Linked DNA regions of Caenorhabditis elegans. The protein of the gene in region 1 purifies or fractionates together with the protein of each later gene. This does not show direct contact. Each region holds a gene or a part of one and is shown on either strand. Other genes may lie near its edges.

Evidence for each region.
Region 2: the proteins of laf-1 (region 1) and fust-1 fractionate together in Caenorhabditis elegans (co-fractionation; one large-scale study listed by BioGRID). This does not show direct contact.
Region 3: the proteins of laf-1 (region 1) and prp-8 fractionate together in Caenorhabditis elegans (co-fractionation; one large-scale study listed by BioGRID). This does not show direct contact.

What each region holds. Positions count from the first base shown.
Region 1 is NC_003281.10:2,774,282-2,784,421, forward strand, and holds the start of laf-1 (ATP-dependent RNA helicase laf-1), read right to left. Parts: upstream 4,773-10,140; 5' UTR 4,738-4,772; coding exon 4,235-4,737; intron 3,289-4,234; coding exon 2,802-3,288; intron 541-2,801; coding exon 439-540; intron 10-438; coding exon 1-9. Other genes in the region: Y71H2AM.6 (DNA/pantothenate metabolism flavoprotein C-terminal domain-containing protein), read left to right, coding at 6,800-6,868, 6,916-7,004, 7,052-7,484, 8,248-8,490; Y71H2AM.20 (Serine/threonine-protein phosphatase 2A activator), read right to left, coding at 8,545-8,670, 9,654-10,018. UniProt on the Caenorhabditis elegans protein: Multifunctional ATP-dependent RNA helicase. Plays a role in RNA remodeling, but is not required for RNA unwinding. Binds to RNA in a concentration-dependent manner to stimulate annealing between two complementary strands of RNA.
Region 2 is NC_003280.10:7,146,987-7,157,126, reverse strand, and holds fust-1 (RNA-binding protein FUS), read right to left. Parts: upstream 4,476-10,140; 5' UTR 4,428-4,475; coding exon 4,424-4,427; intron 4,224-4,423; coding exon 4,117-4,223; intron 3,992-4,116; coding exon 3,706-3,991; intron 3,658-3,705; coding exon 3,600-3,657; intron 3,036-3,599; coding exon 2,998-3,035; intron 2,791-2,997; coding exon 2,652-2,790; intron 2,607-2,651; coding exon 1,997-2,606; intron 1,949-1,996; coding exon 1,844-1,948; 3' UTR 1,655-1,843; downstream 1-1,654. Other genes in the region: C27H5.2 (TAR DNA-binding protein 43 N-terminal domain-containing protein), read right to left, coding at 1-76, 1,420-1,444; T07F8.1 (Zinc finger PHD-type domain-containing protein), read right to left, coding at 5,367-5,801, 5,846-7,879; npr-31 (G-protein coupled receptors family 1 profile domain-containing protein), read right to left, coding at 9,874-10,140.
Region 3 is NC_003281.10:8,162,373-8,172,512, reverse strand, and holds the start of prp-8 (Pre-mRNA-splicing factor 8 homolog), read right to left. Parts: upstream 8,141-10,140; 5' UTR 8,137-8,140; coding exon 7,307-8,136; intron 7,253-7,306; coding exon 7,015-7,252; intron 6,974-7,014; exon of another isoform or gene 6,841-6,973; intron 6,815-6,840; coding exon 6,595-6,814; intron 6,523-6,594; coding exon 5,778-6,522; intron 5,730-5,777; coding exon 4,313-5,729; intron 4,300-4,312; exon of another isoform or gene 4,130-4,299; intron 4,082-4,129; coding exon 3,080-4,081; intron 3,028-3,079; coding exon 2,555-3,027; intron 2,449-2,554; coding exon 801-2,448; intron 679-800; coding exon 319-678; intron 273-318; coding exon 216-272; 3' UTR 1-215. Other genes in the region: bath-42 (BTB and MATH domain-containing protein 42), read left to right, coding at 9,187-9,247, 9,302-9,570, 9,621-10,140. UniProt on the Caenorhabditis elegans protein: Functions as a scaffold that mediates the ordered assembly of spliceosomal proteins and snRNAs. Required for the assembly of the U4/U6-U5 tri-snRNP complex.

The DNA.
Region 1 (10,140 bases):
ACAACCGAGCTGAAAAGAGACGGGAAATTTAGTTTTTTAGCTTTTTTTTTTTAAAGAAAAAATCGATTTTTTTAAAATCTTAATGTTTTGGTAATTTTTCTTCTTTCTAGAAGAAATTGATATTTTTCCCTATGTTTTTTTCAGAAACATACACAAAATTTGTTATAAAATGGAATTTTATTCTTAAATCGAAAATTTTTATAAAAAATTTAAAAAATGTGAGAAGCGGCAAGGTACCATAATTTTTCGATTTAAGAATAAAATTCCATTTTATAACAAATTTTGTGTATGTTTCTAAAAAAACATAGGGAAAGATATCAATTTCTTCTAGAAAGAAGAAAATATCGAAAATTCAAGAAAAAAATTTCTAAATTGATCGGACAAAACGAAATATTTCAATTTTCAAATAAAATAGCTAAAAAAACTTTGATTTCTCACTCGAAGCTTGTGAATTTGATCCTTGTAGTTTTCGCGTCCTCCGTAAAGAAGTGCTGATGTGATTGGGGTACGGTAGGCGAATTTTCGAGACTCGTTGAAGATCTGAAATTTGAAAAAAAAAATTAGGATTTAGAGCAATAAATCATTGTATTCCTCTCGGACAAGAACAATTTTTACCACCATTTTTCAAATGATTGACAAATGTGCTCTATTGTCAAATTGTTTGCAGAAATACGGTATTTATTCACATTTTCAGCCAATTTAACGCTGAAAATGTGAATAAATACCCGTTTTCACTGCAATCTATACTTTTGCAGCTGTTAGCGATTTTAGGTAAAACATTATGAAAATCTCAAATACAGCCTAGTCGAAAAAAAATATTTAAAAAGTTTAGTGAAAAAATAACTGTTACGTTTAAAAAGTTATTTGAAACGTGAAGTTACACCTTTTTATCGTCCCTTGAATGCTTTTTATATAAAAATTGATTTATCATAGTATTTCAATCAAGTTTTTGTATGTTTTGTCTGGAAAATAATTAAAAATTTCAGCTCTTCTTTGGGAATATTATGCTTTGTTTGTCTCGGTAAGACAAATAAAGTGAAAAAAGTGAAGAAAAGAGCATCCAAGGGTACTGTCAATGATAAGCATCCACATGTCGAATCCAAGGGAACGATCAATACTCCACCACCTAAACGTGAGGACGAAAGGATGTTGATGACAGCTGTGACAGTGAAACGAAGTCTCCATGTGATACTCACAAGGAAAGGAAGTCAATCTAGTCCCGGACTTCAAATCGAGACGTATGTCATTTGAAAGCTTATGTTTAGCCTAGATCACCACAAAAATTTTAGCGGCGGAACTCAACTCTGAACCCCTGAAATCGCCATCTGAAAATTTTTTCTCTGCGCCCTCCTAGTTTTAAATACTATTTCGTATTTATTCATTTTACATATACGAAAATTATCTTCAATATTTATAAAATGGTTTAAAACATTGAAATCAATAAAAATCAGGGATTGATGGCCGATGGTTTGTTAGATTCTAAAAACACCCAAAAACAATTTCTAATCGCTCAGAACCACTTTTAAGGCCATTTCCTTGACCTAGAATTCAGCGAAAAAATGCACTAGAACACTTTCAGATGGCGATTTCAGGGGTTCAGAGTTGAGTTCCGCCGCTGAAATTTTTGTGGTGATCTAGTCTAAACATAAGCTTTCAAATGACATACGTCTCGATTTGAAGTCCGAGACGAGATTGACTTCCTTTACTAGTCAGGTAGAGGCAGAGGTTCAAGGCACGAAACCTGTCAGAGACAGGGTGAGTTATTCACAGAAAACTTCAGATACTAAATTATCGATTTTTCAGCTCAAAAGCCAAAGAGAAGAAAGTTGAGGAGTTCTTCGATGATCAGGATGATGACGACACTCTTCGAAGGACTATCCAAGCATTCGCAACTAGCCCTTTTCTCTGAGAATTATTAGGTCTCCAAATAAGTTCCGGGTCAAAAATCATAACTTTGTTCGCTGCGTATCAATTTTTATGAAACTTTGGGAATTTACATTATCAACTATGATCTTTCATTTGACAATAGTCACAAAATTTTTTGACCACCCCAAGTGCCCTAACTCGGAGCCAATTTTTTCAGGCATTTTTCTGATCTCGCTTCTTTTCAGTTTTCAATTGAGCTTTGTGTGCGGATTTTGCTTTGTTTAGAATACATTATTAGAAAACAACAAAAGTTTGGAAAAAAATCCGCCCAAAAAAATTTTGTTTGGTTGGTCGTCAAAAAATGTTCAAAAAAATGTTTGTCGAAAATTCTAGATTTTTCCTACAAAAATGATGTAACCAAGTGTAAACTATTTTTACACATGCAAAACATATCAATTTAGTTCGATACACTAAAATGATAGTAGAAAATACAATTTTTTCGGATAATTTTTTAGTTTTTTGAATATTTCTTAAAATTCAAATTTTTAACTCAAATGATTTATATGTCTAAAAATTCGCAGTGGGGTGAGGCGTATAATCCTATAAAAGCAAAACTTCTAATACCATTCAAAAAATAGTTAATCTGAAGAACATGCGCCTGCGGCTCTCCTATTCCAGTTTTAGCAAAAAGCGTCTACACCAGGGCTCTGCGGTTTTGAAAAAAGTTGACTCTCGGTGCGCGAGTCGAGATCCGAGTTCCACTTATTTCTCTGGCTCACGCCGAGAGCCAAAAGCCGACTGTTTTATTTTTGGGTATCTGTTTTGGCAACATCCCTCTGATGATAAAATGTGTGTTTTAAATCCAAATGTTTCAAAAAAAAAAACATCCAGTTGTCCGAGAGGAGTACAATTCGCGAAATCCGACAGATTTATACCTGAAGGGAAAGCTCACGAGTCGGTGAGAGCACAAGAGCACTTGGATACTGCTTCTTTCTTCCACCAGAACTTGTAACAGAACGATGAACAGCATCAGGACCATCTTGAAGAATAGCATTAACCAGTGGAACCAGGAAAGCCGCAGTTTTTCCAGATCCAGTCTGAGCACATGACATCAAGTCACGACCTCCCTGCAATGCTGGAATGGAATATTTCTGAACAGGTGTCGGCCGATCGTATCCGGCGGTTTTAATATTCTCTTCGATCCATTCGTGAAGGCTGAGATCCGAGAAGAGGCTGATTGGCTGTGGAACATCGTCACCGGTCGCTTCAACTGGAATCTCCTCGTATTTGTCGAAATTAATGCCGGAAAGCTGTCCGGAGAAGAGCTCCTGCTCGATACGCTCATCGCGGGCTCCACGATTCTCCCATTTTGATGTGCCTCTGCTTGGTGGCGCGTCGAGATTGTTCCAGCGAGTGTTTTGGCTGAAATTAATAAATTATTTGAAAATTCGATTTGATTTTCCGAATTTGCAAGCATGCGGCGCGGTTAATCCTGTGTGGATTTACGGAGGATATCGTGTACTACACGTGGAGAAGTCTGTTTTTAAAAAAATGCTTTTTGGATCGTTTTTTGCTATATTAAATTGAAAACATTCAAAAAATTTCAAATTTCAAAACATTTTTGCAGATTTTTCAGTTAAACTTCAGCTTAGATTTTATAAAAATAAGGAGAAAAGCTAAGAAAATTCTAATTAAACAAATTTTGGGAATTTTCCACTAAAAATGCTCCGAAAACGCGTTGAACTTGCAATTTTTGCGCGAAATTTTGGATGGAAAGCTTAGAAAATAGTTGAAATTTGCAAAAAAAAAAACTCGAAATTTTTGAATTTTTCCGTAGAAATAGTCGAAAATAGCAAAAAAAAAACCATTTTCTAGACCGAATTTTTTCCGTAAAAAGGGTTAAAATTACGAAAAACCCCGATTTTACCAACGAAAACCTAAAATTTTTGTACAAAACTAGGAGAAAAAATATAAATGAGTAAAACACTCATTTTTGAGGTAGTTTTCATTGAAAAATGTCAATTTTTTTGTAAGATTTTGAGCATTTCTAGCAAAAATTGCATTTTTCAGACGATTCTTATCGAAAAAATTGTCAAATCGACGATAAAATGGCAATTTTCGATTCAAAACTGTACGAAATTTAGGAAAAAAAAGAACGGGAAATTTTAAATTTTGTACAAGCTGTCCTGTTCGAAGTTTTTTTTTCCGTAGAAATGGGAAACTTGGATTTTTATGGTTAAAAAAAAATTAAAATTACGAAAAATCCAATTTTTACAACGAAAACTCGGAATTTCTCCAATTTTTTTCGCTAATATTGAAAACCGTGCCGCAAGCTTGCATAGCAAATTTCTTCCATTTTTCCACTGACCCATCGCCTCCATTATCCCGACGATCATTATTGTATGATCTACCGGATCCTCTGTTATCAGAACCTTCATCACGGTTATTATATCCTCCTCTTGAGAAGTTTGATGATCCACCATCACCTCTATCCTGACGGTTATATCCTCCGCCACCGCCCCCGCGATTATTATTGTATCCACGGTTTCCACCTCCACCTCCACCGCCGTTGTAACCACGATCCTCGTAGTTACGATCTCTTCCATAACCACCACTTCCTCCACGGTTGTCACGATCGTCACGATTGTCATTGTATCCGCGATCATATCCTCCGCCACCGCCGCCGCCACTGTTTCCACCTCCACGACGGTATCCACCGCCTCCAGCTCCACCGCGGCGATCATCACCTCCTGCAGAAGCAGCAGCAGCAGCTCCACCATCTCCTCCGCGAAGATGTGGTGGTACATAACGTCCTCCTCTATTTAATGCAGCATTACCACTGCCTCCATTGTTCGATTGGTTACTTTCCATCAAAAAATAGCACGCGCGCAAATATGCGATCAACCCTGCAAAACAAAAAAATTGTGTGTTGAGAAATTGTTAGGAAAAATCTATTTTTTTAAACGAAAAATTGCAAATTTCCCGAAGAAAGGGTCGAAAATAGCGAAAAAAAACAATTTTTACAATGAAAACTTGGAGTTTTCCAGGAGAAAAACGCTAAACTACGAAACAACCATTTTTTTACAACGAAAATTGCAACTTTCCCGAAGAAATGGACGAAAATAGCGAAAAAATCAATTTTCTACAACGAAAACTTGTAATTTCTCAGTAGAAAACGGCTAAAACTACGGAAAATCCTGTGCCGAATGTGCCGAAAATTTGGAAAAAAACGAATAATTTTGAACGTATATACTCAAAATATGCGTCGAATTTTTTTATTGCTTTATTAGACTCAAAATTGTCTAAAAACACCGAATTTCATAATGAAACTTCTCGAAAACTTCTCAAAAAAAGAATGTTATGACGGCTCAAAAAACGGCCTAAAATTTGATAAAATATGAAATTTGATCTACTTGTCAAGCGGCTGGAAACAACTGATTTTTTTTGAAATCACCGTCAAATTTTTAGTATACAATGTAATTATCTTACGTTTTCCACTCGATTTAGGTATTTTAAAGTCGATGGACGGCGAGATTTTTAAACTTTTTAAACCAAATACATTGTATACCCAAAATTTGACGATGAGTTCAAAAAAAAAGTTAGTTTCCAGCCGCTTGAGGTCAAATTTCACATTTTACTAAATTGAGGCCATTTTTTGAGCCGCCATAACATTTTTTGAGTCGTTTTCAAGAAGTTTCATTATGAAATTCGGTGTTTTCAGGCAATTTTGAGTCTAATAAAGCAATAAAAAAAATTAGAATACGTCGTTTTGAAATTTTTGCTTGAAACGATAGAAAATGGGCCAAAACATTCGTATTCTAAATTTTTGATGACTTTTTTTTTCAATTTTTTGTTGGTTTTCCTCCATTTTTGCTGTTGAAAAACCGCTTTTGTCAATTTTCCAGACATTTTCCGTCTGTAAAATTCGCTAAAACTTAAAATTGTCCTAAAATATAGATTATTTTTGCAAAAAACTGTCTGAAAAACTGGCAAGCGGTGTTTTAAATCCAATATTGAAGAAAAACCAATAAATATAGCCAGAAAATGCGAAAATGGCAAAACCGGGTGGCTAAATTGAAAAAATCAATGTTTAGAGTTTATTTTCGCTTAATTAATGGAATAGTAAAAGAAAATTCAATAAAAATCCATATTTCAGCTACTGCAACACGAAAAAGTTGTCAAAAGTCAAGTTTTTAGCTAAAATGAGCTAAATTTTCCGGAATCTTCAAGAAATTTCATCAAAAAATTGCTTATTTCAGAACATATACGTTCGTCCTTCAAAGAATGGGGAAGCTCGTGCGTTCAGGGGCCGGAAGGAATAGTTGAGAGGATGGTGGAGACGCAGAGAACGCGTGGCGCACCACCCTATCGATTTTCGTTCCGCCCGTCTCCCGGAGCGGCGGAAAGTCGATAAATACATATAGAAATAATATTTGGAAGAATAAAATTGATTTGAGAATTATTATGAAATAAAATGGATGAGTCATTTTTTATTTTTAACGAGGAGTTTCACATGCAAATTCGTTTTTTTTTCTAAATTTCTAAATTTTCAGCCGTTTAGGGTGCTTTAGCAGGTTCAAACTGGCAATAAATGTGAATTTTAGATAGGAAACCCCCTGTTTTAAAAAAAATTTAGCTAAAAAATCGAGTTTAAAACCCCCGCTACATGGGTCAAATCGAAGAATCCTTCACCAGTGTATTTCTGAGTAATTAATTGAATTTTTACAATAAAAATCCGCTGAAAATTCGAAAATTATGCGATTTGAGCATCGAAAAATGTAAAATCTCGCGAAAAATGTTGAAAATAAAAGTGAAAAACTCTGTTGGTGTGGTTTTGCGTGGCGGTGTTTGCACACTTTTGTCTACCGTACCCACTCGAAATCAATTTTGAATTTTATTTTATAAATTAAAAAAAAACAATTTTAAATCGAAAATGTCCTCTGATGACGAGATTGAAAGCTTTCTGAAAAAGCAGCAGAATATTCCAATTGTTTTTATCACGGTAATTCTCTTTTTTTTCCTGAAATACTGAAATAAAACAGAATTCAGAGCGGAGGAACTCAAGTGCCGCTGGAAAAGAACACTGTCCGCTTTATCGACAATTTTTCGATGGGAACTCGTGGAGCAGCGAGTGCAGAGTAATTTAAAATGAAAATCAACGAAAAAAGAATTGAATTTTCTGCAGATATTTCCTGCGAGCCGGCTACGCGGTGATCTTCATGCACCGCGAGGAGTCCCTGAAGCCGTTCTCCAGGCATTTTCCGAATATTTTCAATTCGCTGAAGCTAGATGGGGAGAATGTTGTGTGTGATCTGCCGAATCTCGCGCAAATTCTGCGGGACAAGTTCAAGTACGAGGAGAAAATTCTGTACATTCCGTTCAAGACCTTCGATCAGTATATGTCACGTCTCGAGCAAATTTGCATTCATCTAAATCCTCTGGGATCCCGTGCAATGGCTTATTTGGCCGCTGCGGTTTCAGATTTTGTCGTCACCGAGCTGCCAACTCACAAAATCGCCAGCAACACCGAGCTGAGCCTGGAGCTCAGCGTTGCTCCGAAAGTTATTCAAAAAGTTGTCACCTGCTTCATCCCGAATGCGTTTATCGTCTCGTTTAAAGTTTGTTCTTGCGATTTTTGATCGAAATTTGCTATTTTCACCGATTTTTTTGTGCAAAAATGTCCAAAAAATGCGATTTTATCGAAAATTTTGGTTTTCTCTCCCGTAAACCACTTGGAATTGGATATTTTTGCCACTTTTAATCGAAAAAAATCCCGAAAAAATGCAAAAATTATATTGACGGGTCTTGGCACGACCACAGACACTTTTTGAAAAAAGGTGTGCGCCTTTAAAGGGTTACTGTAGCTTTTTTTTCCACTTTTTAGCAAAAAATTGTTTAAAAAGGACGAAAACCTAAAGAAACCGCAAGAAATTGGTTGAAATTTAACAGTATTTTTGAAATTTGAAGTGAAAATGAAAAATAAAACGAAAACCCCAGGAAAAAATGCAAAAATTCCTTTGGCGGGTATCGGCACGACCGCAGAAACTTTTTAAAAGAAGGCCTGCGCCTTTAAAGGGTTACTGTAATTTAATATGATTTTTTTTTCAATTTTTAACTAAAAAATTATTGAAAAATGGCAAAAGGTGTTTTAAAAAAATCGGTTTTTTTTTTCAATTTTAGAAAAAAAAACTATATTTCAATATATTTCAATGTCCAATGTACTTTTTTTTCACGGTTTTTTCTCTTTTTTTTTGGAAGAAAAAGTACATAAATTCAATTTCTACTGTATTTTTCGTGCTTTTTCTCAATTTTTAATCAAAAAATTAGTTGAAAATGCCCATTTCCCCCCGCTAAATTTCAATTTAATTCGTAAATTTCCAGCTAGAAACGGACGAAACAAAGCTGATTCCAAAGGCAAAAGCTGCTCTCTCCAAGTACGGCCATCAACTCGTCATCGCGAATATGCTATCAACTCGCAAGCAACGTGTAACTCTCGTCAGAAAGAATATTGAGCAAGGAGAGGAGATTAATCTTGCTCCGGGAGCCCCCGAGCTGGAGATCGAATCGTTTATAATCGATCGTGTTAGCGCTTTACACAGACAATTTATTGATGCACAAATGTAGATATACAGTCATGATTTTCACGGAAAATGAATAAATATTTTAATATAGTAGAGATCATGCATCGGCCATTGGTGGTGGGCAGTGCTCGTTGGGATGTTTCTCACTGTGAAGACGTCGCAAGTCTCCAGATTCGACGACAGATGACGAATGGACGGTTGAAGTGTTGGCGGCGGATGGGATCTGAAATAATATTTGATTTTTCAGGGGGAGTTTGTGAGAAAAATGATGGAAAAATCAATTTTTTATCACCCTCTTTCTGAAAATTTGCGTTAATTCTGAAAAAACCACTTTTTTTACAAAAATTTTTTATGGTCGGTCAAAATATCGAAGAAAAAAAAGCCAAATTTTGCTAAAATCTGAAATTTCGCACACTTTTCTTTGTCACAGCCGCTGGATTTTAATTTTTCTGAAATTATCACCCTTTAATCCTTATTTTGGTGATTTATCTCATTTTGATCATTTTTGGGTGCCTATCGGCCTAAAAGTTGTCTCGATCAACGAATTTCCGCGAGATAAATCACCAAAATAAGGATTAAAGGTTGATAATTTCAGAAAAATTAAAATCCAGCGGCTGTGACAAAGAAAAGTGTGCGAAATTTCAGATTTTAGCAAAATTTGGCTTTTTTTTCTTCGATATTTTGACCGACCATAAAAAATTTTTGTAAAAAAAGTGGTTTTTTCAGAATTAACGCAAATTTTCAGAAAAAGGGTCATAACAAATTGATTTTTTTTCCTAATTTTTCTACTAATTTTTAGAAAAAGAAACAAAAATCTTGGGTTTCATTGGTTTATATACACTTTTAATATACACTTTTTGTAAGTTTTCTACGGGAAAACTCGAAATTTAAGGCGATTATAATAGCTTTTGTTGAAAAATTTGGTCATTTCTCAATTCTTCCAGCAAAAAATCGTAATTTTCCATACAAAACGTTTTTTTCTGACAAAAATCAGTTTTAAAAGAATTTTCTGTTTGAAGGTGAAAATTCAGCGGTTTAGTGCGTTTTCAGTGAAAATTGGTTTTTCTGCCAAAAAAATCACCACTTCTTCTCGATTTTTTCCATTTATTTTTCAAAAAAATCAATTTTTCCAGTGAAAAATTGAAAATTTCGCTTTAAAATCTCTATAATTGTCGATATTTTTACCATTTTCTTCTCCGAATTAACCTTAAAAGCGAACATTCCATGCTGAGCCGGAGCTCTTGGAGGCATCGGATCCTGTGACGGAGCATCTTCCATAGATTCTCTTGGATGCTCCGATCGATCAAATGAGAATAAAGAGCCGAACATCATGTGCTGAACAACTGGAAACTTCTTTAAAACTTCTCCTTCATACATTTTAAACATTCCACTATTGACTTTTTTCCAGTGTGGAACTGCTGAGATATTCCAAAGTTGATTTGAATGTTCGTGGAAAGGGCCGGTTTTTGTTTGATTGATAAAGTTTACGCAGTCCAGGAAAAGACTTGTGTGGGCGTGAGTCTCAACAATATTCTTTTTTAGGTAACTGTCCGGCACGATACTTTTTGAACCTGAAAATCGAAACAATTTAAGATTTTGGAGCGGATTTTTGGCTATTTTTTGGCATTTTTCAACATATTTCAGGCCTATATAAGCTTTGGAAATTCAAAAGTTTTTTTTTTTGTAATTTATT
Region 2 (10,140 bases), on another chromosome or scaffold:
AGTGAAGTCCACAAGATACCAGCATCTTCATCTAACTCTACTTCAACAGGTTCCACCCCGATTCGAAGAGATTTAACTGCAAACATATCTATTTTACTTTTAAATATCTCCCATCTTCCTTCCGTTTTATTACTTGTTTGATTAGATATGAAACCAAATTATATAAGTAGTTACGGGTATTGAAGAAGATGAAATTGTGTGGGGCAAAAAAATGTAGGCAAACACAAATTTTTTCAAGTTTTTGATTCGAAACACGATTCGTAGGTCATTGGGTAAATAGGCAAAATATCAACTGAAGATATAGAGACTCAGACATTGACATGACCGAATAAGCTCATTGTGCCGGAGAAAAAATGAGGAGAAGGACAAAAGAATTGAAAATGTTTAAAGAGCTTCTTGTTTCTATGTGTTTCTATGTGTGTTTTTTGAGTTTGAAAAATTAAAAAAATGAAATTGAAAGCGAGGAGAGTATTTATATAAAATAAACCACACAAAAAAAATTAAAAATTGAATTCCTATTATGCACATTAGAATTTTCGCCATATCTTACGTGCATGGGTCTCGCCACGCGGACATCGAGTTACTGTAGCTCATATTAATTTATGGACCGAGATTGTATCAACCTTTTCAAATTAAACGAGGTACTGGTGGCGGAATTGTATTAAACAAAAATATGATGTAATATCTACCTGTAAGTTCTAACGAGTTACAGTAACCCGTTGTCAGCGTGGCGAGACCCATGTTCATTAACCATTATCAAATAGTTTCAATAGGAAAGTTCAAAAACAAAAAAACTATTTTCAAAATTGAATACTTGTGCAACTACATAGATGTAATTATTGAAAATCAAACAGCTGTTGTGATCAAGGGTGTCAATGTCCCGTAAAAATTTCGAAAACGGGACAACGGGAATTCCCGTTCCCGTGAAAACACCCCAAAAACGGGACAACGGGAAAAACGGGAAACGGGAATTGACACCCTTGGTTGTGATTAATGCGCACGGATATATTCAGATGGGTCTTGGTGTGCGAAAAAGTTTATGGTAGTCTGCTTTTGGATTTTAGCGACTGCGTTTATTTTCAATAAAAACTACTGGTTATTCAGAATCAGATTTAAAATTATAATGAAAATTAATTTAAAAAAAACTACCATTAACTTTTTTGCGCGCGAAGACCCATCTGAATAAATCCGTGTGCCTTTGTGAAGGCATGTCAGAGTCTATTTAAATTACGATGTAACTTTCTACGTTTTTATCTTCAAATTAAATGTTCGTAGAGCCTATCAATCATAAAGTTTAAGAACTATACTTTAATTCTGAATCTAAAATAACTTTCATTGATAGTTTTATATTTTTATTCTGAATATGCGAGAATAATCTTACTAAAAATCTATTCTCATAGCGATTTCTTCGAATCTTACCTTGTAGTCCTGTAATACTGCTCATTAGTCGGTCGAAGTTTCGAACGGACAGTCTCTCCCGGGTAAATTGGAAGAATGAGAGGTGGGCGCCGAGGCAAAGGGAGGTCGAGACGAAAGAGATGGAGAAGCAGATAGTGTGACGTAGAGATGAAGTGCGGAGAGAAAACAGACAGTGACACGCAAAGCAGCTGATGGGTAGGGAAATGCGGACAATTGCAAAAAAAACAGATGTTAATGTGCAAAAATTTTTATTTTCGTTAAAAATAAAAAGTGGGAAAAAATGAAATATAAAAAGAACATTGAAATTTGAATGTATCGAAGTAGAATATAAAGGTGGATATAAAATTGTTACAAGTCTCTCACATTGAAGAGATCAGAGAATTTAAATTAGATGTTAAAATTTATGGGGAGACGAGTTGATGGCTCAATATGGACGGTATCGGTCACCTCCTGGTGGTCCTCCTCGTCGCTCGCCACCACCACCTCCGGATCCTCCATCTGGTCTCGGGGCTTGGCATTGATTGCATTCCTAGAAGAAAACCCGTGTTTTTTTTTTGAAAAAACAAAATTAACTAACTCTTCTGAAAGCGAAGTTGCTATTTCCGCACTGCTCACATGGCCAGTCATTCTTCCTTTGTTCCATATTAGCATTTCCGCCACCTACTCCACGGCCTCCTCTGAATCCTCCACGATCGCCACCACGGTCGCCGCCTCGGAATCCTCCACGATCTCCTCCGCGGAAGCCTCCTCTATCACCACCTCGGAATCCTCCTCGGTCTCCGCCACGGAATCCACCGCCACCACCGCGACCACCATCGAATCCTCCACGACCACCGCCGCCGCCATATCCTCCACGATCACCGCCAAAGCCACCACGTCCTCCCATAGGACCACCACGACCACCTCCGAAACCGCCTCGTCCACCACGACCACCTCGTTCACCTCCTGCATCAGCGCGGAACTTGGCTAGTGAAATACTCATCGGGCTTGAGCCGCCAGGGAATGGTTGCCCATTGTACATAGTTATAGCTTGTTGAGCTGCAGAAGCATCGACGAATGTTATCATGCATTCTCCTTTTGGTTCTCCGGTGTTGCGATCGGTGTAAATCTTGATTCTCGGTCCGCGATCGTTCTTTGCAATATCTCCGCAGGTACTGAAGACGTCGGCGATGTAGGCTTCATTTGCACTGAAATATAGATACATTTTTTAATTGGGCGATTACAAAACATACGTGGTGGAAATTCCCTGCACAAAGACGGTCTCCTTCAACTCAACTCGCCCATCGGATCCGAATTCGCGGTTTCCTGAAGCAGCACCACCGCCTCCGTATCCTCCTCCACTTGGTGGTCCGTCACGTCGGGGTCCTCTGTCTGCAATGAAAATATGAAAACTTTTACAAACAATTTTTTCGTCCAACTGTCAATAATATAAAGCACAGGAACAAGTATTTTTATATTCGTTTAATGTTTTTTGTTTTTGAATTTCGATGATAAACTCGGTAGGATACCCATTTTTTTTTAATTTTGGTAATAAACTCGTTGTGGTACGAAAGATAAAGCAATTTACGTATTCAATACCTTGATAACCTCCTCTTCCTCCTGGAGGTCCGCCCTGTCTGCAAAACATCATTCTTGAATGGAGTCTTCTGTCTTCTTCTCTCATGCTAACACCACAGTAAAATGTTTTCAGATTTCGACCGCGCAATAATACACCTTCAATTGATTTTTTTTTGTACGCACAAACACGATCATTTAGATTTTAAGATTTTTCAAGCATGAGAGATTTCAGACAGAAGCATCTCCTGCACGCTCGAAGTCGTTTGGTAGACTTCATTTGTTCTTCACTCTTGACTCGTTTTGATACCGAACACACGTAATAATAGCTGAACTGCATAATATTTTGAAGGAAACCGGGCCATAGCCCTACAAATCGATAAAGCACAATGAATTTGTGCTTCATTGCGGACACTGACCTTTTTTCATGAAACTTACAATGACGGACACAATACATTACTCTTCGCAAGTTTTTAATAGTGAATAGATTTTGTATATGAACACTGAATACTCTGAACTCTGTAGCAGTTTCGATTTTCAACACAACACAACAATTTTTGGATGGTTAAGCAAACGAATTTGGAAATACCGCATATTGCTAACGAAACATTCAGATGTTTACCTACCGATCAGAGTTTCCGTCATCCCATCGGCTCCCACCTCGGCGTTCTCCGTCGTAGCCACCTGAAAAACATGGTTTATTATGAATACATTAATCAAACAAGAACAAACCTCTACCACCACCACGTCCTCCGCGATCACCGCCGTAACCTCCGCGTCCTCCGTCGTATCCTCCACGACTTCCGCCACGTCCACCATCATATCCACCTCCTCCACGACTGCCTCCGAATCCTCCACGGCCGCCACCTCTACTTTGCCCGTAGGGGTCAGATCCTCCGGATTGGCCTCCGGATCCTTGGCCGTATGGATCCGCTCCTGGTGGTGGTGGTGCATATGGATTTTGCGGTTGTTGTGCTTGGTCGTGGCCTCCATAAGCAGCAGCGGCGTACGGATCCTGCTGAAATTTAAACTATGAAACGTCTGTGAGCCTGGTGGTATTCAACAGCAGAACTATGCTCCTGAACAATTCTGAGCAAAGCCATGATAGTGAGGCGATCAGCCCACAAAATCTCATATACTTACATCAGGTTGACCTCCTGGTTGTTGTTGTTGTTGCTGTTGATAATAGGCCCAATACGCCTGCTGCCCTTCGGGTGTGCTGTAGTCGGGTTGACTTTGGTCGTAAGCCGCTGAAATCGATAATGTTTTCAAATAACCGGGAAACAGAAATGGCAACGCCCGTGATTTGTATTCGGGAGCTCCCACAAATTCACGCATTAACCTAATTTATAAAACATGAATGGTGTTAGGAGGATAAATAAAATACTTTCAGTGGACACTCGGATTTCGATATTCCAATAAGAAAACGACTATTAAAAAAGAAACTAACCCATTTTTGTCGATATTCAAGTCGAGGCACTCGCTACGTGTCGATGCGTTGACTGAAATTTATCCTTTGAAGAGCAAATATATCTTAAAATTAAAAGAGAAACGAGAAGAGAATGGTTGAGGACAGATGCTGTTCAAAGAAGACGGAGAACGCTGTCCAATACGCGTCGCGGTTGTGCGTCGCGTGTAGTCTCAATGGAGCGCGCACATTTGCAGTTATATCTAGATATATCTGGTTGTAGCGAACCTTGGCAGATTTCAGCGTTCTGCTCCAAAAAACTAAATTTACTGAAAAAAACAATTATACTAAAAAAAATACTTTTTAAAAAACTCCATCTAAAACTTTGATAGTGCTCATCACAAGATTTGAGCACTGCAGGGTAATAAATAGTATACATTTTAACAATTTTGAGAAATTAGGTCGAGGAAAATGAAAAATAAAGTTAACTCAAGAACAAAAATTGCAACAAATGATTACAATTTTACACAGTATCCTCGTCTCGAAATGCGCAAGCGCGACGATTGCTGGCGCGTTTCGCGTGAAATGCTGCGTCTCTCACATTTCCAAGTCTCTCGCATTTCCTTGCTCATTCTAATTCTCATCATTTTCTTCGAACAAGGTTGATTTTTTTTTCGTTTTTTTGTTTCATTTTCATGTTTACATTGCTTGTATTCGGTTTTTCTAAAATTGTATTCACTTCTTTTGAAATATTTTCATGCTGTACCCCAATCTGAACCCATTCACAACCCGTTTGTTAGTTTAGGCAATTGAAAATTAGGATTCACGCTTATCATCAACTCAAAACACTTTGTAAGTCGGAATTTAGAGATCATTCATGGCTTTTCTGCTCGTTTAATTGATTTAATCGAAAAAAAAACATGTGAGTGAGAGAGAGAGAGAGAGATGTACTATAAAAACGGTTTCCTAGAAATGTTTGCTGTCACTAGTTTCTTTTATCGGAAATATAGTTGATGTTAGCGAAATAGTCGATCATCAACTCAGCGCGTAGCTTGAGAGACATCACAGAAGAAAATCGCGTCTCTGTTGTCCTGAAGAGCACATGAAACGCTTCCATCCCTTGTTCTGAAGTACGACCCCAAGTTCTTTTTGCTCTAATGTAAGGCTCGAGGTGAGTACAGAGGATGTGAAGTTTAGGAGTGACTCCCATCGAAGGATGAAGAATTCTGATGTTTCTCTTCAAGTTCTTCAAAGTTTTAGCGAAATCATTCAAATCATCATCTGTGAAGACTGCGTTATTGCTTGCTGACATGAGTGACGCCAAATCATTCATGAAGTTTCTCATATTCTGGATCCAACTACAGTCCGTGAAGACTTTTAGTACTTTGTCAATGTTTTCTGTCCTTAGTAGTTGGCGAACCTAAAGATTAGAATATTTTCAAATACCGAAAATCACAAATTTACTTGATTTCCGGTTAATCCCTGATAGTTAATTTTTTGACTACAGCCAATATAATCCAAAACTTCCTCGAGTTTCTGTTTTGTTGGCCCAGTTCGAGTCGAAATAGCCGTTGTCATGTCTTGGCGAGCAGCTTTCAAGTTACTAAGATGGCTTGTCTCGTGTTGTAAGCGCCTGGCAAGCTCATCAAGTGCCTCATTAGCATGTTCAATCATTTCCTCATTAGAAAGAATATGTTTTTCTTGACATTTTAAACAAGCAGTCGGATGATGTTTAGCTGCCTGGCGTTGATCCTCCGTATATCTACCAGCACACACCATATGAATTGCAAATGGACAAGCAACGCAGAAGAAGATATCTTGATCCTGTTGGCTTTTTGGCATATCACTGACGCAGCATGTTGGAGATCCACAAGATATCGACGAACGTTTGATATTATTCTGCTTTAGTCGACTCTCATAAACTTCCTTGATTTTCGTCGTGAGCACAAGGGCGTTTTGCAGACTTTCAACCACTTTTTGGCAAAATTTTTCTTCTTTCTGAACTATTCCCAATTCCATTCTCTGTTCGTTCATAGAGTCTGGAAGATCCTGTCCAGGGAAGTCGATTTGATTGGCAAGTGCCAAAAGTGAAGCCAAGATATAGTCATTTACCAATCCCATCAGAAGATGCAAACAAGGTGGTACGATACAAAATGGCTCAATGTGGAGTAATGGATGATACCCTGCTGATATCATACCACGCAATGTACGAAGAGGGCCCGATCTATCAAATTCGAAGGATTGAACTGTAGCCTTATTCATACCAGAATGAGCCCATCTGCCGGTACAAAAAATGCAAGAATCTGAAGCTGCCTGTCCTGGATGATTCATTGCAGATGACTCAAATTTCAGATCTCCTACCAATTTCAGACGAATATTTCGAATAACGAGTGCATTTTTTTCTTGATAACGAATGCTTGTCATTTTTTCGAGCTGCTCGAAAATCCCCGCGAAATACTTTTTCAGATTTGTGTAATTGTCTGTACCAGTGTACCATCCAAGAGCCGTCTCGGTGAGACTGCTGTTTGGCTTCTGACAATTCTCGATAGACATACAAACTTTTGTTACTCCATCACCGGTATCTGCGGAGATGATAATATCATCCCCTATCCCTTCATCGAAAACCAGGTTGTCATTGGCAGACAAAGTTTCTAATCTTCTTCTCGTAACTTCAGGAACATTTTTGCAGACCGCGATAATATTTTGAATGGGAATCTCACGTCCAATGCGAGTTTTTGTAGTTGAACTTTCGATCGAAATCTCATATTCTTGATGCACTTGCAATTTCTTTCTGTGCTCGTCAACTTCCTTTCGAGAGCCAAAGATGTCGAATCCGAGCGTTTTTTGAGAGAAACTTTTGAAAGATTTCAAAAATCCGTCCGACAGTCTGAATTTAATTACAGCACAAAACGTCTCTTCAGTCGTAAATCTAGTTCGAAATTTGAACCTTCGGTGTTTCGAGACATATTTCACGAAGTCCACAATGAAAATATCGGCTTCATCCGTTCCCACATAAGTCTGGATGCACTCCAAAACCGTCTCACATCTCTTGTTTTTAGTTGGCTGTGACAACTGGTGATACTTTTTATTTGCTTCTGACGCTGGTTTTAGTGCCAGTTTTCTCAAATTTTCACTCATTTCCTCATTAATTCTTTCGAGCTTTTCTTCCTTTACGAAAGTTTCATCCGCAAACTTTCCCAACTTCTTTTTCGTATCACTGTGAGATCGTTTTTCGAATTCTATTTCGCCTTCTATAGAATCTACTTTCTTAGCCAAATCCTCAACTTTCGTTTTCAGACTCTCATTCAAGTTTTCAGCTTTTTCTCGTAACGACGTCTGATCTTTTATATTTTCCTTTAAATCATCAATTTCAAGCACGTAGGCGTCGTTATCCTTTTTTAATTGATCGAAAGATTTTTCGAGCCGTTTCTGTTTCTTGGCAGCAGGTCCCAAGACGCCCAAGTTCTTGCCGTGCTCTTTCCTTTTCTTTGATACCATCTAAAATGCCAATTGTTCATAAAATCCTTGAAAATCGTGGTTTTAAATGCACTTTTCTTATCAATGACTAAATATTTTTAAAATTAATTTCCTTTTTGAAAATCCCGAATACAAGCAGTGTAATATAGAACGTGACTCAAAACACGAAAAAAATTATTATGGAAGATTTCCGTGAAATTAAGCGATATATGAACTAATTAATTGTTAAACTTCAGGTATTTCAGCTCCATTCTATCGTGCATCCCAAAAATTTCAGATATAACACGACTACAAGCTTTCTTAGTGCATCTTTCAAGGCCATGTGAGATGGGAAATTATGCCACATCTTCATCAAAAAAATTCAGATCGAAGTTCTGGCATGTGTGATATTTTCAGCTACAGTACCCATCAGTTTATTGAATTTTCTGTGATCTTTCTCTTTTCGTAATATTTTAAATTGATTTTAGCAAAAAATAGTATATTTTTGAGCAAATTTCCAAAAACGTGCCAGATATGAAAAGAAATGAGACAATTGTTCGAGAGTCAGTGAGTACTGTATATCTGACAACTTTCGTTCGTGCCAAAACCTCGGTCATAACTTTTGCATGAAAAATGACAATATTCCACATCTCACATAGCCTAGATCGTAGAACATCCAAAAACAGCACGTTTTACAACAAAATTTGATCCAGGATCGTATATCGTCGGATACAGTAGCTGTGATGAACGCCCGGATGAGAAAATAGGATGTATTTTGGTTGTACTCACTGCTCAGCGTTTTCTAGTAGGAACGGAGCAATTTGGAACGAATTGGTCACAATTTTCTGGTCGACTGCGAAAAGTTTGGAATGAAGCAAAAGAATATCGTCCTGGAAATAAATTTGTATATTTCCAGCGAGCTAAAAGTGTCCTAACCTTTGGAGTGGATTCTTGATGTTACTGGAACCCGCTCTGCTTGAACTGATCTTTTTTTCACCTGAAATCTCGCATTTTTTAAAGAAAAAAAGTTACCTTTTCAGAGAATAAGGTGAAAAAAAGCAATTCAGAAGCAGAGTTGTAATGAAATACGGTGCCATATATTTTTATCCGTCCCAGAACTACCTATTGCACTACTTTGAAAATATATGAATTTAGCTACGGCACTGAAAATTAATAAATTCAAAAAAACTGAATTGGAAACAATGCGCGTTTCGATATGTTTAAAGTTTCAGATTTGTCACATATGCTAAATCGTACACAACCTCCGTCTCCACAAAAGTACAGTTGGAATTTCTGAATGAACCTGTAAAAAATTTTTTATGGACAAAATTTAAAAAATTCAGTTGATTTTTCGCTTTGCCGCCATTTTGTCATTTTACGTTGATATGTTATAATTTTATCGATATTCTAATCATTTCATTTTTCCTCACAAAACTTAAGTTGGAAAATAAAAAAAACGGAAAAAAAATTTTCCCCCTTGAAAACGAGAAATGCGCCAGCGATTTTCAAGTGCGCTCCATGGCTAATTTTCATTTGAAGAGACTGTGATTTTAATAAAATTCAAATTCAAATGTGTCGTAAGTTCAAATGTTTGCGTACTACAAAAGTACACAAACACATAATATGACGACATTTTCAAAATATGTTTTTGCACTAAATGTTGTAGGAAATTTAATAGGAATTTATTGCAAAAAAATGAAATTGCACGAGAAATCAACTATTTTCCAATAGTTTTTTGAACACTAAGAACTGAACCTTTTCAATTTTTTCTTATCTTCCATGTGCCAGAATGTTTCAGAACGTTCTAGATTTTAAAAAAGTCTGAAGGTTCTAGAACATTCGATTTTTAAATGTCGCCATAGACGCCAGTTGATTTTTCAAACTATATTATTCCGAGACAATGTAGTTGAGAACACAAGTTTTATTGTTTGCATGTAAAATGAAATTACAATTGTAACCGTTTGTAAATTAACCGTAAAAAACTGAAACCGTATGAATATAAGTAACAAGAAAACGTTAAAGAAATATATACACTACTAAACCATATCGCCATCTCCATCAGATTCTTTTCTTGTCAAAATACTAATTTTCGCTCGAACTCCATACGGACTATTCGGCTCTTGAGATACAGTTGATTCTTTAGGTGAACTTTGAAGAAAAGATGCCCCAGCTGCATCATCCATAGAGCCTCCAATTGAACTTCTATATGATATTGAATGAAGAACTTTCATGGATGGTGGAACTTGTTGACGAAGACTTCGATTTGTTGATGGAGATGCTGCATGAGACATTGTTGATCGTTT
Region 3 (10,140 bases), 5.4 Mb from region 1:
ACAGAACGAACCTTATTTGGTTGAAAAGGACTGGGAGGGGGTTTGGGAAAATACACACAGTGTTGCTTAGGAGATTCGAAGGGAAGAGAAAAAACGAGAGAAATAGATTAGTGATTAAAAAAACCAAAAAATGAAATTCAACAAAATGAGAATAAATTATGGAGGTCCTTAGAAGAGAAAAAATAATAAATTTTTAGATAAAATAAGAAAAATGATTATGCAAATGCATCCTCGCGATCGGCGCTTCCTGTTCCAAGTGGATCGTCGAATGCCTAAAATGAAAGAAATATTAAAATTGTTTAGAACTAGATCGAATACCTTAAAGTTATGGAAGTGAACCGGCCGATGATCTTCATGATAGTACTCCTTTGGATTAGAAAGACACACATCGAACTTCATTGCAGGCGACCAACGTTGACCTTGGAAATTGTAGTTCCACACTCCGTTTGATGGAACCATGAAGTATCCAAGGAATCGATCAGATAGAAGCATTTGCACTTTCTCATAGTGAGTTGGCATATATCCCTTTGGATTATTTCCTTTGTCGGTATTCGCTTTACCCCATTCATATCCCGATGGTGTAAGTTTATATGCAGTCAGAGAAACAGATCCAGGAGTGAAACTGCACGTGATCATCACTGTCTTTTCTCCATCCCAGCTGATGTTATCGGTCAATAGCTGAAATATTACATTTATCCAGGTTATCATTTCGTTTTGAGAATATTTTCTTCGGGATAATTTTTTTAAATGTAGCAAGTTCAATTATAATTTTTGACTACAAATATCCTAAATTATGTTACCTTGGCATGAGTTGTGACATCTTGTGGAGACAATTGTGGCAACTCATTTGGTTGAGTGTGCATCCATCCAAGTGGCTCAAAATCGCGAAGAAGCTCATGATCCGGAAGTTGTGTTGGAAGATTGACTTGCTGATGACTTCCAGTCTGTGGAACGAGGACAATGCACCGAATCTCCTTTACTTGTGGATTATCAGGTGGCGATACACCATACATGAATCCAGCAATCTGTGTTCGAAGATCCGAGATAGTGATGAACTTCTTGAGGATATTCTTTGGAAGAATATAAGTATATCCTGTATCCTTGACATCATCGGAATTGACATAGATGTGTTGAGTTCGAAGATGAAGATTTGTGGATGAAATAGCACGAACTCTCCATTCTGTACGACTAGCAAACGATGCTGTTTCGTAATTCGATGTAGTTGCTGTGATAATTTCATCTCCATGTTTATTGACAGTTCGTGTAGTCGTTGCAGTAACTTGACTCTGCTCTTTCGTTTGTTTCTCAATATCCGCAATCTGTTGACGTTGTTGGCTTGGCGCAGAGATTTCCATTCCAAGAATAATATCTCTGACTTCAGATTGAGTCAATGAAGCAACATTCACATTGTTCTTCTTTCCATAATCTGCCAGAATCATATCCTTCAGAGCCAATTCAACCTTGATCCAATCGTCGTCAGAAAGTGTGGGCCAAATATGATGAGGCTCGGTGATAGTAGTCTTGTCTGGTTTCAAGATAACTTTAGTCTTATCTGGATTAATGTGCATTCCACGCATGATAAGAACGACACGAGAGAAAGCAGTGTATGAAGAAATTGTCTTGAGCCAATCATCGTACAGATTGAACAACACCATCTGTGGCTCGGTGGCCTTGAGAATTAAATCACCGAATTTTTCAACCTTCATGATAGCTTGGAATGGTAACATGAGCTCAGATCCCTTGATGACAATATTCGGGAAATCGAGAAGATGCACCTCCAATGGATCGAGCATAGCTTTTCTTGTTACAATGATCTGGCGTGGTTGTTCTTCAACTGGAAGCGAACGAATGAGGGCAGCAACTTCTTCTGCTGTTTTCCACTTGGCCAACTGCGACAAACGCTTCTGTCCAGCCCATACGGATGTATGAATGATCTTGAGGAAAAGCTGACCAGTACGTGGATTGAAGATGAAGATGGCTCCGTTAATTGGCTTGGTCGTTAGGTTACCTTCGAATGTCTTGTGAATGGTGACACGGTAGACATTGGTATCATCAACGAACCAGATAATTTGGTTACTGAACAACTCTCCGTAGTTTTGACTTGTCAAATAAGGTTCAGTTGGTTCCGACGAGTAGAGTTGAAGACCCTTGCGAATACGTTCACGCAGCACATAGAAGGCTGGATTGGCTTTGATGATCTTTGCCATCGCCTGTCGAATCAATGGTTTCATTCCTGGGAACCAGTTTCCGTACGCAGAATATAGATTGTACGCGAGGTCGATTGCGATGAGAACTCCAGTCGGTGAAGGATAAATCGACATGTTATCAGTGGTATAGTCAAGGAATTTTGCACGGGCGTATCGTTCAACGTCGTGAGAATCATAATCTCCCCAACGAAGCTGCACATCGAGCCAATATTTCTGAGTTGTGGTGTTATCCATGACATCTCTGAAAAATTAAAATTAACTATTTAAAAGAAAAGTTCAGAAATTTTTGAGAAAATTATCTTTGCTAAAAGTATATCATTTTCAAACAACATTTCACATAAACTCACTTGCTGTCTGCCATCAAAGAAGGCCTAGACACATTCCACTTGTATTGAGCAAAGAGAAGTACGTCGGCACACGAACTGTTCATTTTGTAAGACTTTCTCGGATGGATAGTTTCTTTTTGGACTGTTTGAATCTCAAGTGCATCGAGTTCCTGATCGAAAACTTGACACAGATCCATAACTACTGACTCGTGAATCTTTTGCCACAAGTGAGCACGGAAGATTTGAATGAGAGAAATCTTGAGCGTCGGGATCTTTCCGTGCATGAAAATTCCAGTCAAATCGAGTTGTACTTGGAAACCGACGTAGACATTAGCACGGTTGATAGTTGGAGACCACCAGAGAGTGAAACGACGATTCGGAATTTGATTAAGTCCAGAACGTTGGGCGTTTGTCAGTTTCTTGAATTTCATCGACTCTTCGAATCCAGATGCACGTTCCCAGAACAAACCTTCCCATGTTGGGAAGTAGGTTCCCTAAAAATACACATATAAGACAAGAAAGCAAATTATATCTGTTAACACTTACCCTGAATAATGTATGTTCCAAAATTCCTTCTACTCCTCCAAGTGCTTGAATCATGTCTGTTCTATAGTTGTTCAAGTTCCATAACTTTCCGTCGTGTCTTTGATGTGTCCACCAGAATGGATTTTGCTTCAGAATTTGATAAGCCTTGAATTCGGTTCTAACACGCCATCCTTTATCGTATGCCAATGTGTGACGATCTTTTTGGAACAAAGTATTGATTCTCGGAATTCCACGATCCCATGAATCGTCGAGATCTTCCAAAGTGAGTCTTCTATTTTGAGCGTTGGCTTCTTGTCTCTTGAGCGCATATTCTGCCCACACACGAACAGAATCGACAAACTCTGCTTCCCAAGGTTGAATATATCTGTACAGATTTGGAATCAATTGGTCTTCATCGTGACTCATTCCGGAACGGAAGTGAGTGACACCTCCAGCTTCCGTTTGTTGCATCCATCGAAGATCAGACTGTGGGATCAAGACGTGTCCCATAGATAGCATTCCAAGTCCTCCGATTTCTTTTGGCGTATAGAAAACAACTGGAGGGAATCTTGAGGGCATTTTTGAGTTGAGTCCAATCTTGATTCTCGTTTGAATTTTATTCTCACATTTCACCAATAAATCCAAAAGTTCTTGAGTGTTCACAACAGCTTCTCTGAAGTAGGTCATCAATCCGATCAATGCTGTATTCCATTTGTTGACAATTTTGGTGAACGTTGTAGATCCAGAAGACATCAAAATTTGACGAATTCTGTTATGGAATTTGGACAATGACTCCTCATCGACCTTCAAGAAGCACTGAGCAGTTCTTTCCTTTGTCACTTCGTTTTGAAGATTCCATACACCATCACGATGAACAAACTCTTCATTAGCCGTACGACACTTTGGTAGAATACGACACTCGAATCCGGACATGTCGAACAACATGTTCGGGTTATCCTTACTGTACACTGATACGAATGAATTTTCCCACTCGACAGTTGTGATGGAACGTGGGAGACGGTTCTGTAAAATAACAAATATTTAAAAATCAAAATAGTAAATTCTACATTTTAATGTACGCCTGTCAAGTAGACCTTATCATTCAAGTTAAATGATGGATCTGTTCATGAGGCGGATAATCGCTTAATTTCCATTAGTTTTCGAGGAATTATCAACGAGCAGCCATCGAATAATTGCTCGCTTTCTTATACCTCGTGTTAAAATTTTAAAAAAATAATTAAAAATAAAATTTACCTTGATATCCCAGAAGACAGCACGACCCAAATTGACATCATGTTTCATCAATCTCATTCTAGCGTCTCTTGGCCAACACTTTTTGTTGTTATAACCGACAATATTCTCATTATTCGGATCTGGATGCTCTGTCAAGTATCTTTGAATCAAATCACGTGCTTCATCAGCACTGAAACGGAACATGATCCAAACTCGGTCGATGTACCGGCAGTAGAGACGAATAGGGTGACCAATTTCTGTGGCAACATCCTGGAATTGCAAGAACTCGTTTGGACATTGGGGCGGACCGGCAATTTCGGAAGCTCGTCGAAGTCCAAGAACAAGAAGATCAAGAACTAATCCATAGAATTGAACAATAAACGAAGCAAATTGTAGACCACGAATAATTCCGAAAGAATTGGTGTGGTTCATATCCTTATAGTTGATGAGAACGTTGTTCTTCGAAGTCATGTAATCGGCAATATTGTGATCCACAATCAATCTGAGCAATCTATTGAGAAGTGTCAAATCCATTTTTTCAGCAATTTTCTCCAATTTTGTTTCCATGATGACATTACACTCTCCTTCACTTGTCTCCCAAACATCTTGAAGATTGTTGAGACCTTGACACCATTTGTATGTAAGAAGCGGTGGTGGTTCAGTATCTCCTGGTTTCACCCATGCCGGGAACAATCTTCTCTTGTCTGCTTCATACCAGAGGTATTGATCGAGGTAAGCGTCAGTGACTTTCTCAAGAGGCTCGATATCGTAGACTGGAATAAGATGAGTGTAGAGATCCATAAACTCAATTCCGACTTCTTTGAATGCACGCTGCGTGAGCATGTGTCTCTTGATACGAGACAAAGCTTCGTGAGGATTATCATAAGCCTGTTCAATTAAAGCCAGTTCTTCTCTTTGGGATTGATTCAATCTATTCTTCACACTGTAACTTTCCTTCAGTCTTTCAAGAGCCAAAATAAGAAGTTTTGTGTCGTGTTTGTAAGAAAGTGGTGGGAAAGGAATCGGAGAAAATCTTCTTGATTCCAGCCAATGTACTGTAGTCGTGTAAATTGCAACAGCTTCTTCTGCAGAGATATATGGTCCGTCCTTCAAGTAATTGTGTTGTCTTTCTTGCTCTGATTTCAGGTATAATCTTGTCAATCTACCCAAGTTCTTCTTGCACACAGTTTTGTCTACTGTCGCTCCTCGTCTTACACGTTCTCTGTTGTAATGTGCCGAATTAGTCCACCAATCAGCCTTTGCTTTCACATAACGTAGAATCATATTTTCAACTGGAGTTGGCAGTCCGGGAACCTTCCATGGAATATTAGCCTTCCAACATCTCCACGCCTCTGACAAATGCTGAAGAATAACACGAGCCTTATTTTGTTTGATTCCGTCCGGCATCATATCCAGAATGTCATGCATGACAGCAGCACTGAAAATATTAATAAATAAATTCGTTTTCTTGCCATTTAAAGCTTACCGTAATTCAAGATCGAAATGAGATTCAACTCTTTGCTTGGTGACTGTCTTGGCCACTCCCTTTGAATGTCTTCCTTCGAATTGTCGAGACAACAGATTTCCAAGCCATCTCTCGAGCAGTGGTGTGATTCCACGCAAGAAGAACAACCAAACTCTCCATCCCGGAGCCCAAAAACCACATCCAGGTCCTTTACCAACCGGCCCAGTGTTGAAACGATAGTAGATGAGATGCTTGAGATCCTTGCACATTCTGACTTGTCTCATGAGCTTGTACTTGTAACGATACATTCCGGTCAGTTGACCGACGTGAGCAAAGATATATTGTAGACCATCTGCAAGTTGGTACGCATCGACGTTGTTCAAACGATACTGAACATGGGCATCAACAACAAGTTTTGTGAGACGAAGGATTTCTCTGCACAAATGGAATGCATTTCCGAAACGAGATTTCTTTCTTTCCTTTGTTGTCAATGTTTTAACTGGTTTCAAATTGAAGTTGTAATCAAGATGAAGATAGTTGAGATTCTTTCGGTGAATGAGCAAATTGAGCATGTTGTATCCTTGACGAAGAACTTGCAATCCAGCTTCTACCCAATCCAGGGTGGTTGTTTGGAAGAATTTTGTTGCCTTGAAGGAACGGAACAGATAACGACGCTTCTGGGGCTTCGGTGGACGATGTTTGAGAGCGTTCAGAACAAACACCTTGAGCAGTTTCTGATAAGAAACACGAACTTTCACGGGCATTCCTGAAAAATTGAATATATTATTTCAGCTTAGTATGCGAGAAACGAAACGAAAAAAATAGAAACAAAACTAACCTGCTGGACAATGTTCTCTATACCACGATTTGACAAGTGGTACATCCACTGCTCTTCTCGTTCTTCCCGATCGAAGATTGAATGGCCGAGGGGCCCATAGAAGTGCTAAACCATTAGCCGTGTTATCGGTGTAGAGTGGAACGTCTTCAAAAATGGGTCGAACATCTTCAGGCAGCTCCCACTCGTCTTCCTCTTCACCTTCTGGTAGATTTTCTTCAGTCTGAAAATGTTTTGACATACAATACGAATTGTCTCCAGTTTTATTTCTAGATATCACCGACAAAAAGGATGATTTCTCGCCTTTAATGGAAAATTTATATTGCGAATTTCGGCTACTGACTACCTTGTAAATTTATAGGAATCTGTTTATAATATCCGCATTTTATTTTAAAACATTGCTGAAACTTGTAAATAACTCACTGCTTTCAAGTTGCTGAGAACGATTGGATTGATCAATGGATCATAGTAGAATGCGGGAAGATCTGGGTCTTCAGTTTTGATAAATACAACTGAAGGAGTATGATACCATGAAACTTGAACAGGCAGCGAGCTGATCAGATTGTTGTACATGAATGGGAATGCAATTCTGTACTCGGTACGAATTGGAGCTCGAATAATAACTTTATTGATATCATTGAACTCGTTCCAGTCTTCATCACTGAAAATAATAAAATAGTATGCGTCATAACACAACTGGAAGCTTTTCACTTACGTATGTAAATCTTTTACCAATGGTTCGAACTTCGGGCCTCCTGGAATTGCAACGTTGAGTGCTTTAGCAGTGAAGAAACTTTTCATGTCAAACAAGTAGAAGTAGTTATCATCTACTAAATCGGTAAGCAGCTGATTTGCAAGACGATACAATGTGGACATCTGTGGAATACTGAATGCCCATTTTCTGTACGTTGGGCCGTTCACAAATCGAGTTGTTGCAAGAGGCTTGTGATCGTAGAACCATTCAGCAACAGCTCCGTCTTCTTCTGGATCTAGTTCCATTTGAATTGGCTCTAAAGGCTCGACATCCAGAATATTATCAGCATAATCGAGAGGCGGTTCTTCATCGTCAAATGGAGGGAATCTCATTCGCTTGAAATGACGACGATCACGTTTTTCTCTTCTCATCATAATCCACATCGTTCCCCATTGTGCCATGTAGACCGGCTCGATGACACGCGGAATGTCGTTGACAAAAGTGATCGCACCGGTGATGTGATACAGAACTTTTACATCTCTGATTTGTTCCCAGGGCATCGGCATGTTCTCCAGTAGCTTCAAAACGGCATGTGGCATATATTTCAAAGCACCGAGGTAGACTCTTTTATCATGACGATATTTGCGAGAAGTCATATCACCATGATCTCTGATAACTTTTCGGACGTGCTCAGGTGGCATTTCTTCTTTCTGCGTATCGGACATTCCAAACTTCTTTTTCTCCGAATACCGCTTTCCTTGAAGTTGTTTCCATTTTCGAGACTTTTCTTCCAGAATTGAATCCGGGATAGCATGTGGTTCAGTTTGGGGATGACCGCCGTAGTTGGCCATACCTATAACACACTATATAAAAATAGAATTAAAACTAATCAATGAGTTGACGAGCAAGGAAAAATAAGTATTACTGTAGAGAAACTGGAAAGAGAGATTTGTCTTTGTTTAGACTGTAAGATCACATGAATTGATAGTTGGAATTGTGCATTACAGTTAATAGCGCACAAAATTTACATTAAAAAACGGAATTTATTCAGACTGAACCAGAAAATCATGAATAAAAACCGATAATTTCTATTTTCGAAAGTAAAATTTAAATTTCCTTAAATCTAAACAACGCGCGCAATTGTGTCGAGTGGAGCGTCGTACTTAGATCTGCAGGTGTTTGAGGTTACGGTGCCCGGTAATTCAAACACTCTTCGGCGTAATGTTTCGATCAATAGACCCGCCTCTTCTTGGCAGCCATTATTTGCGTTCGCGTTCGCCGCCGCCGAGGAAAGACATCTGCCCGAAAAAATTTATTGATTTTTCGAAAACTTATTGGCATTTTCTATTGCCCTCAGAATCTGAGTAAAGCTTCTGAATTGCAACTTTTCCTTTTTCAAGTCATGTGACTGGGGTAATATCATTTTTTCGAAACTGTTCCGAATTTTGTACAAATATCAATTTTTCGAAAAGGAAATTATTTCCAAACTGTCATTGTTACCCATTTTATATTGAAATGTACCACATTTATTCCTCATAGACGAGTTCATGAAGATCTCCTTTTGAAAACTTTAAAAACTGTCCAACTTAAAAAAAAGGTAGTATTTTCGAATATCAAACGGCGATTTCGTAATTTTAATACTTTTCTAATATGTGTAATTTTTCGTAGATCGGTTTCGAAAATCGTATTGCTTATTTCGTAACTCTAACAAAGAACTCCTGCTTTTCGTAAATAATTCATTCGCGGAGTTTCCCAGTTGTTGTGTCTTTTTGAATTTAATCATTTTCTTTTATTTTTATCGAGATTATCGGGAATAGCTTTCTTTTAATTGAATTTATTTTCAGAATAACCTCTTGCTCGCTCAACTTATCAACAGAGGTAAAACTTATTCGCAATATAATATGTCTTCACGTTCCTCGTGGTCATCCACGGAGCAGATTAATCGCACAATCAGTTCCAGAGGTTAGTGAGAATAGCTCAATTAATTTGAGAGTTTAACATTATTTTCATTTTCAGCTGACGATCTTCCTCCACAACCTCGCCGTCTAGAAGTAGTTTCGAAGCAAGCAACGCGTGTGACGGCACTTTCTACAAAATTGGAATGGAAAATCGAACAATTTGAGAAATTGATGAAACTAATCAAAAACGGTTCGAATCTTATTTCAAGAATGTTTAGTGTCCCTGATGCGCCAACAGTTTGCTGGGAACTTCATGTGTATCCAAATGGAAAGCGTGATGAAGATGTGAATAATGTATCGTTTTTCTTGAGACAAGTTGGATTAGCCGTAAGTTTCATTCATATTTTCTATATATAAAATATAAAAACCTTTTTCAGAGAGGAGAGGAGCCCATCATGACAGAATTTCAAATTTATGCTCTCGATGCTAATAATCAAAGAGTCAGTGTATGCAGAGATACCAAAGATTTCACAAACCAACAAGGGCGTGGAAAGTTCCAAGTTTCGCGTGATAAGATGCTTGGGGCACTTCGATCTGACGGAACTCTCTTTTTGATTTGTGAAGTTGAATACTTCCCTCCTGGATCAAAAATATCAGTTGAGCCAGTTGTGGACGAAGATGTTAGCACAGAGGAGCAAGAAGAAATGCCTGAAGTAATTGTACGCGCAAATAATCGAAGTATGTGGGAAGATGAGCTATTCACCGATTGTGTGATTCATGTTGGCAATAAACATATAAAAGCCCATCGTTGCATTCTGGGCCAAAACTCGCCAGTGTTCAAAAGCATGTTCTCATCACCAAACATGATCGAAGCACAGAAAGGAGAGATTCACATTGAAGACGCCAAATATGATTCGGTTCGAGCGATGGTCGAGTTCATGTATACGGGAGCTACTG